Xenopus tropicalis: one gene and its partner. The protein of the gene in region 2 purifies or fractionates together with the protein of the main gene of each other region. This does not show direct contact. Links are inferred from orthologs where the notes say so. Each region holds a gene or a part of one and is shown on either strand. Other genes may lie near its edges.

Evidence for each region.
Region 1: the proteins of cdk7 (region 2) and ercc2 purify together in Homo sapiens (affinity purification with mass spectrometry; 10 studies listed by BioGRID and IntAct, counting the BioPlex papers as one, with this or other methods). This does not show direct contact. The link is inferred for Xenopus tropicalis from reciprocal best matches to the Homo sapiens genes CDK7 and ERCC2.

What each region holds. Positions count from the first base shown.
Region 1 is NC_030684.2:70,779,076-70,782,898, reverse strand, and holds part of ercc2 (TFIIH basal transcription factor complex helicase XPD subunit), read right to left. Parts: intron 3,548-3,823; coding exon 3,431-3,547; intron 3,324-3,430; coding exon 3,200-3,323; intron 3,128-3,199; coding exon 3,031-3,127; intron 2,804-3,030; coding exon 2,670-2,803; intron 2,428-2,669; coding exon 2,259-2,427; intron 1,039-2,258; coding exon 920-1,038; intron 810-919; coding exon 740-809; intron 364-739; coding exon 294-363; intron 195-293; coding exon 93-194; intron 1-92. UniProt on the Homo sapiens protein: ATP-dependent 5'-3' DNA helicase. Component of the general transcription and DNA repair factor IIH (TFIIH) core complex, not absolutely essential for minimal transcription in vitro.
Region 2 is NC_030677.2:186,233,235-186,237,559, reverse strand, and holds the start of cdk7 (cyclin-dependent kinase 7), read left to right. Parts: upstream 1-1,259; 5' UTR 1,260-1,306; coding exon 1,307-1,390; intron 1,391-3,579; coding exon 3,580-3,639; intron 3,640-4,281; coding exon 4,282-4,315; intron 4,316-4,325. UniProt on the Homo sapiens protein: Serine/threonine kinase involved in cell cycle control and in RNA polymerase II-mediated RNA transcription. Cyclin-dependent kinases (CDKs) are activated by the binding to a cyclin and mediate the progression through the cell cycle.

The DNA of each region.
Region 1 (3,823 bases), on a different chromosome or scaffold from region 2:
CTGCAGCATACAGTAAACAACTGCAAGTAAGCCTTCACTATTTACCTCTTATGTATAAAAGATATCATATGCAATATATAACCTTTTCTTACCATAGGACAAAGACAAACACGGGCCAAGGTCATTGTGAATGTTGCCATAGTAACAGGGCGAAAATCCAAAATTTTGGGGTAGATATCCAAAGGAGAGAGGGTCTGGTTGTGTAAAAGTCACATTTTTAAAAAAGAATAGATTACACAGGATTAGAAGAAAAATTTGAAAAATAAAAAAGTAAAAAAAAAAAAAATTCTTACCCCAGACGTGATGATGACAGACTGAAATCTCTGGAATACAGGTTTAATTGCAAGGGAAGAATCTAGACAGCTAAATTAATGATAAAAACAAGAACGGCTAGAGTATACAGTCTTTGTAAGAGAGAAAGCTGAAAAAAAATGAAGGAAAATTGGCTTTGAAAAGGTGGACAGTGGGCACCAAGAGAAACATTGACCAGACTACAGGAGCACTAGAAGTAGGGAAAAAAGAAAGATTGTGTTGGAAAGATCAAAGAAAAAAAAATACTGCGCACCGAATCTGTATTTTGAAAAAAGTTGTATGAATGTGTGTGTGGAAAGAGGAATTAGAGGCAGAAAATCATTCCTACGAGCCAAAAAAAAAGATATTAAGCCAAAAATTGGCAAAAAGTAAGAAATTGGAAAGAATAGCACTGATGGGCATTTCAAGGAGAAAAATATTTAGTAACCTGAAGTGCAGCACAGGATTACTTATAGATGGTGTTCTGTCCTCGAATGGTTCAATAATTATCATAAAACCTGTAAGAAAACAGAGACATGGTTCACAAGGGAAATAAAATGGTTTGTAGGAAGAGAGGTGATGGGAAGGGCAAGCAAGAATACACAGAATCCAACTGTGAGGAAAATACCTTTAGTATATGTGCTGACAAGGGTAGCAAAGTTGGTTATGAGGGTAAGAGGAGAGAGGTCTGTAATGTCAGCTATCTCAAGAGTGCGTGTGAGGGAACGCAACCGTTCTGCACAGAACCTAAAAGGCAAAAGATTTAATATCTGTAAGGGAAAAATTCCCATTTTTTTTTTAATTTTAGTAGATTAGTTTATTATAAATTAACCTATTTCAAGCAACATTTAAACTTGTCTTAGTTAATTTTATGGTTTTTGAATTATTCATTCATCATTCATTCATTCAATGAGTAATTTTAATATTATGTCTGTTTTCATTATTATTTCTATTTCTAACTGTCAGGGATCATGGACGCCAGCAACAAAAACAAAAAACCCATAGTTTAGTTTTATTGTAATTCTTATCTTATTGCATATCATTATTTTCAGGCTCTTTAATAATCATCTCTATCAAATACATAAAAATCAAACATTTTGCAAACCTCTGACTGGTTGTTAGAGTACTGAAAAAAATGGAACAGTCAGATTACAGTTGACAGAGTTTAAAAAAAATACTACAGTACTCGGGTTAAGGTGAACTATCCCTTTTAAGTATTTCTCAATTTGTACAGGAGGTCACTATAAAGAAATGTTACTAGAAGAACAATTTTTGTACTTACCATTAAATCCCTTTCTCTTCACTTACTATGGGGGGCATAGGTACCTTGAGGATAAAAATCCTTCCACACCATCTAAGTGTTTGCCCCAATGTTGCTCTGGGAGTGTTAACCAGTGCAGACCCCTGGAGAGTGGAAACTAGAGATCCCAGTCATTTGGGAGATTATTTTTAGGCCTTAGTGGCATGACCTATAACCATAGTCCTGACTATTTTATTCCTGAGCCACCATGTGTCCTTTCTCCTTTTGAGCACATTAAGAGAAACTAAGGATTAAGGGAGGTAGCAGGGGCAAAGCTCTTAAGAAGTCAATTTTAACCTTTCCGTGTGTACTCTCCTGTATCTTTAGCCCCATAGTGCCTGTGTCCCCCAATCTAAGCAACAAAGGTCATTAGTAAGCCAAAGAAAATAAACAGCCATGTGACTCAGAACATCAGATAATTACAAAGCCCTCTGGAGCTTGAACTTCAGCTGGAGATAACCAGCTGCAAAATGCAGTTTCAATTATTTTCTCAACTAATACAACAGTAACAGAAAGCCCAGCAAATTTCTGTTGTGAAATCTTTCTTAGGCTATGTATAACAAAATATTATATGTGAAAGTTTTGCATCAATTTAAATAAGATATTTCTGAACACATTAGTAATACTTACTAGGCATTATCTTTGTAATCAACAACTCAACCCTTACCGCATTGGCTTCCTTTCGATGCAGACTTTCTCATAAAGGTCACGAAGAAAGGCAGCAGGGCCCTCTTGTGTTACATGGCCTGCACGTAGACGTGATTTGATGTAGCCCACTAATCGTCGTAAAAAACCCAGGAAGTGGAGAGCATTACGGATGCAGCCTGGCACAGCCTCTGCATACAACACGAAAGTCAGTCCTTAGTCATTTCAGTAGCGAAGGAAAAACAGTTTTGGCTGTTCAATAAAGTATTTATACAAAATGTATAACTAATCAACAAACAGCTTAATGTCCAGTGAACAAGGCTGTTGAAAAGGTTTGAACTAAGTTGGGGAGTAACAGGTGCAGCCTCCTGAAGAGCATGATAGGCTTAATGTTTACAGAAAAAAACTAAATTAACAGCACAACTTCTCTTACCTTGCAGAATTTCATCAGGTAAGACAGGGTTGGACAGGTACACATCAGTCTCCCTTGCAACACTGGCCTCCCGCAATCCCTCCACCAGTTGAGCGTACTCCTCCTTCAGCTTCTTTTCATCTGTTTCTTTTATTCTATGAAAACAACAAAAATAAAGCTAAAGAATAACAGTTCTCCCTTACCTTTTCTCTCAATATTCACCTATTACCGGCTCTCCTTCGCATCCACTTTTTTTCATTAATTTTCTGAATGTACCCTTCACATTTATCTCCCATTATTTAACCAGTTTTACTTCTATTAAAACAGTTTTTTTATTATGCAAGAATTTATTTTCTTCTGTCCTCCACAAAACATCCCTTACTTTTCTATTGCCGTGTTGAGAGTTTCAATGTTTGTCTGACAGCGCTCCAGGGTTCTGCGTGTGATGGTGACACTCATAGAGTCAATGCAGACATTATCTAAAGAGTAAGAGGGCAGATTAATTTTGCAGGCGTGTGAAATAGACAGGTAAGTTCAGTTTTATCACTTACCAATATTATGAGCTTCATCAAAGACAACAACAGATTTCTTGGAAAGTTCACGAGAGACAAGGTCAGCTATTTTGGGATCCAGTAAGTAGTGATAGCTGTACACAACCACATTGCACTGTCCGAGCTGCAAAAATACACAACATAATTTAAAACACAAACATTTATTCAGATATACTAGTCAATTATATCTTCTACAAGTTAGGACTGCATGAGAAATATTCAGACACTCACAGCATGTCGGGCAAGGTAATAAGGACACCAGCCTTTTTGTCTACCCAAAGTCCTAAGGTCATCCAGATTGTAGATACCAGGAGGAAGGGGGGTCTCACGTCCAATTGCATCAAATTCCTTAAAAAAAAAAAAAAAAACAGGGTTAGTAGCAGAGTAATCACTTGATTTTCCAAAATAAGCCTTTCTGCCCCATCTTTATTTTGCTAAACATGATGTATGCTCACCTGGGGAAGGCAGATAGCTATGAAAGAGTTATGTTTTTTTTTACTTTTCAAGTGCTTTTTACAATCTATGCTCTGCTTTGGTCTAAACTTTGTGTAAAGTTTCCTCCTGCAGGCAACTTTGCCTGACTTGGGAAAACTGAAGTGATTTGTACTGTTGACGATGGAAATG
Region 2 (4,325 bases):
AAATTTGTGAGAAGCGCCAACTCTAAGTTAATTATAATGTGGAACACAACAGGAGCAAATTATTTCATTAGATTTATTTTATCATATAATTACAAATAACTATATATTTTACTAAGTCATATATATATATCATTATCCTTTATTCATAATGTATACATATCCGGCATCACTAACAGAGAATTCTCTGTTCTCCAGTTTCCTTCCTGCACTTCAAAACATAGAGAAGATTAAGTGGCTATTGAAAAAATGAGTCGCTGCCCCAGTGGAGCTTACACTCTAAAGGTCCATATCACACACACACTACAGTCAATTATTGTGTGGTGCTCTATGCACGCCGCAAAGCCCCCTAGATGCGGAATAAAAAAAATTGTCAGCTCTGGAGATAATGATCCAGTCCTGTTTTTTTGGACCAAATTCAGTTTCACACTAAGGGACGTATTTATTATGTGTAAAACTAACTCGCTGAGTAAAAACCTGTGTAAAATAAATGGAAAAGATCGCCGTCTGAACGCCAGATATTACGCCGTTATTTTCCATAAGTTCTGGTGAAAAAAAAAAAACGCGTAAAAAATGACGCCGTTTTTTCCCGCCTGTTTTACACAGCGAAGTGTGGTGAATTTTCTCGCTGTTTTTTACACAGCATAATAAATATGCCCCTAGATGATCATTTGAATTAAGGTCTCAAAAGGCCTGGAGTGGAATCATTATCTCCCTCATGTCATGTCTTATAAAGCTTTTGTTTCTGGCCTTAGCATATTATATATCCCAAAATGTGGCTGAGGCTTTTCTATTCAGGGGCTGTAACTTGGCTGCACAATGGGCACCTCACAGAATGAGCTCCTGGCAAAGCATTTCATGTCTCCATTATTTATTGCGGGAGAGTTTTAGCACTCAGTATTATCCGAGAAGTGCCCTTATGGCGTGCTCACAGCATTCACCTTTCCAACTTGATTTTAGCGCCGGGACCAAAGGAGAAAGGGCTAAGAACATACAGTGTTGCTTGGCTACAGCGCCTAAGGGCGGGGGGCTGCGTCCCAGCCAGGGGCGGCTCATTAGTACAGAATAAACCGTTACCCTCGAGAGAAGGAATTCTTCTGAGGAACAACCGGTATTTGCCACTGACACCATACAATTCCCGCCTCTCCCCTGTAGCAGGGATCTCCATAGCAACCGGTAGTTGTAGGAAACCAGATGCCTCTTACGTCACATTCGCGCTCCCGTCGCGCCGGTAGCAGCATGCAGTGGGCGTGGCCAAAGTGTTAAATGGCGATGTGACAGTGACCTGTGGGAAAGGGTTGCGCGGAGAATGGAGGGGATAATGGCGAGAGGGGTGGATGTGCGCTCCCGTTCCAAGCAGTATGAGAAGCTGGAGTTCCTGGGGGAAGGCCAGGTGGGTGCTGCTGCGTGGGGTTCCGGGTCCCTGTGGGACACGTGGGGCTTTACTACTGCGCAGAGATGCTTAGTGGCACTGTATGTAATGTCGTGTAATTGGATACTGCTTTACGGCTTTTATCCTGGCATTACATAGTGCTGTACCTGTAGTATCCTGGCATTACATAGTGCTGTACCTGTAGTATCCTGGCATTACATAGTGCTGTACCTGTAGTATCCTGGCATTACATAGTGCTGTACCTGTAGTATCCTGGCATTACATAGTGCTGTAGCTGTAGTATCCTGGCATTACATAGTGCTGTACCTGTAGTGTCCTGGCATTACATAGTGCTGTACCTGTAGTATCCTGGCATTACATAGTGCTGTACCTGTAGTATCCTGGCATTACATAGTGCTGTACCTGTAGTATCCTGGCATTACATAGTGCTGTACCTGTAGTATCCTGGCATTACATAGTGCTGTAGCTGTAGTATCCTGGCATTACATAGTGCTGTACCTGTAGTATCCTGGCATTACATAGTGCTGTACCTGTAGTATCCTGGCATTACATAGTGCTGTACCTGTAGTATCCTGGGGTTACATAGTGCTGTACCTGTAGTATCCTGGCATTACATAGTGCTGTAGCTGTAGTATCCTGGCATTACATAGTGCTGTACCTGTAGTATCCTGGCATGACATAGTGCTGTACCTGTAGTATCCTGGCATTACATAGTGCTGTACCTGTAGTATCCTGGCATTACATAGTGCTGTACCTGTAGTATCCTGGCATTACATAGTGCTGTAGCTGTAGTATCCTGGCATTACATAGTGCTGTACCTGTAGTATCCTGGCATTACATAGTGCTGTACCTGTAGTATCCTGGCATTACATAGTGCTGTAGCTGTAGTATCCTGGCATTACATAGTGCTGTAGCTGTAGTATCCTGGCATTACATAGTGCTGTACCTGTAGTATCCTGGCATTACATAGTGCTGTAGCTGTAGTATCCTGGCATTACATAGTGCTGTACCTGTAGTATCCTGGCATTACATAGTGCTGTAGCTGTAGTATCCTGGCATTACATAGTGCTGTACCTGTAGTATCCTGGGGTTACATAGTGCTGTACCTGTAGTATCCTGGCATTACATAGTGCTGTACCTGTAGTATCCTGGCATTACATAGTGCTGTACCTGTAGTATCCTGGCATTACATAGTGCTGTACCTGTAGTATCCTGGCATTACATAGTGCTGTACCTGTAGTATCCTGGCATTACATAGTGCTGTACCTGTAGTACCCTGGCATTACATAGTGCTGTACCTGTAGTATCCTGGCATTACATAGTGCTGTAGCTGTAGTATCCTGGCATTACATAGTGCTGTAGGTGTAGTATCCTGGCATTACATAGTGCTGTAGCTGTAGTATCCTGGCATTACATAGTGCTGTACCTGTAGTGTCCTGGCATTACATAGTGCTGTACCTGTAGTATCCTGGCATTACATAGTGCTGTACCTGTAGTATCCTGGCATTACATAGTGCTGTACCTGTAGTATCCTGGCATTACATAGTGCTGTAGCTGTAGTATCCTGGCATTACATAGTGCTGTACCTGTAGTATCCTGGGGTTACATAGTGCTGTACCTGTAGTATCCTTGCATTACATAGTGCTGTACCTGTAGTATCCTGGCATTACATAGTGCTGTACCTGTAGTATCCTGGCATTACATAGTGCTGTACCTGTAGTGTCCTGGCATTACATAGTGCTGTACCTGTAGTGTCCTGGCATTACATAGTGCTGTACCTGTAGTGTCCTGACATTACATAGTGCTGTACCTGTAGTATCCTGGCATTACATAGTGCTGTACCTGTAGTATCCTGGCATTACATAGTGCTGTACCTGTAGTGTCCTGGCATTACATAGTGCTTTTAGTCTGGCATTACATAGTGCTGTACCTGTAGTATCCTGACATTACATAGTGCTTTTAGTCTGGCATTACATAGTGCTGTACTTGTACTTTTTTGGCACAATTGTTATGTTTGGGTTTTATCTTCCCTTAAACTCTGGCAGGTTTCATAAATGGCAGTGACAGTAAAAGCTGCTCAGGCAGTCCCGTCAGTGTTGGCTCTGCTGTGACAGAGTAGAGAGGTGTATATAGGAACTGACAGGAAACTGTTTCCCACTCATATTGTTCTGAAATGTTCTGTTTCTCAGTTTGCCACAGTTTATAAAGCAAGAGACAAGAATACAGATAGAATTGTGGCCATTAAAAAGGTATGTTTCTTACTGCTTTCTTATTCACAGCTAAATGCTTTATTAATGTCATGTACCCTGCATGTTCTGCACATTATATGTTACATGTTCAATGTCGCAAACAAATTGTGCTTTTGCCATGCCCACACTGTAAATAAGGGTAAAAGGGTAAAAGACTATAATATTGGAGACTGATAGCATCTTGTAACGTGTATAAATGCAGCAGCCATCTTGTATAATAGGAGGGTTGTACAGGGCAGCATAGAAACACCCACATTAAATCTCAGGTGGCCCTACCCAACAGTAATTATACACATCCAGAATAATGTCAACAATAGCGAACAACACCGAAGGAGGAAATGGTACAAGAGAGAGGGTATATACTATTACAACACTAACACAACAGCAATAGGCTGCAGTATTGTGTTCATTAGTATATTATCAGATGATAATACATACCCATCCCCTGTATCTCTGTATCAAATGTTTGTGTGTGTGTGTATATGTGTATATATATATATATTGTTTGTTTGTTTGTTTTAGTAAAGCAGCAATCTGTTTTTTTTTAATTCACGTTTATAGGCATAGGCAAGACTGAACCAGAAAACATAGAATCTATGGCTCTAAGCTCTATTAAGGCACATGTGGTTTTTCTTGTTGCAGATTAAACTGGGACATAGAGCAGAGGCTAAAGATGGTAAGTGCTT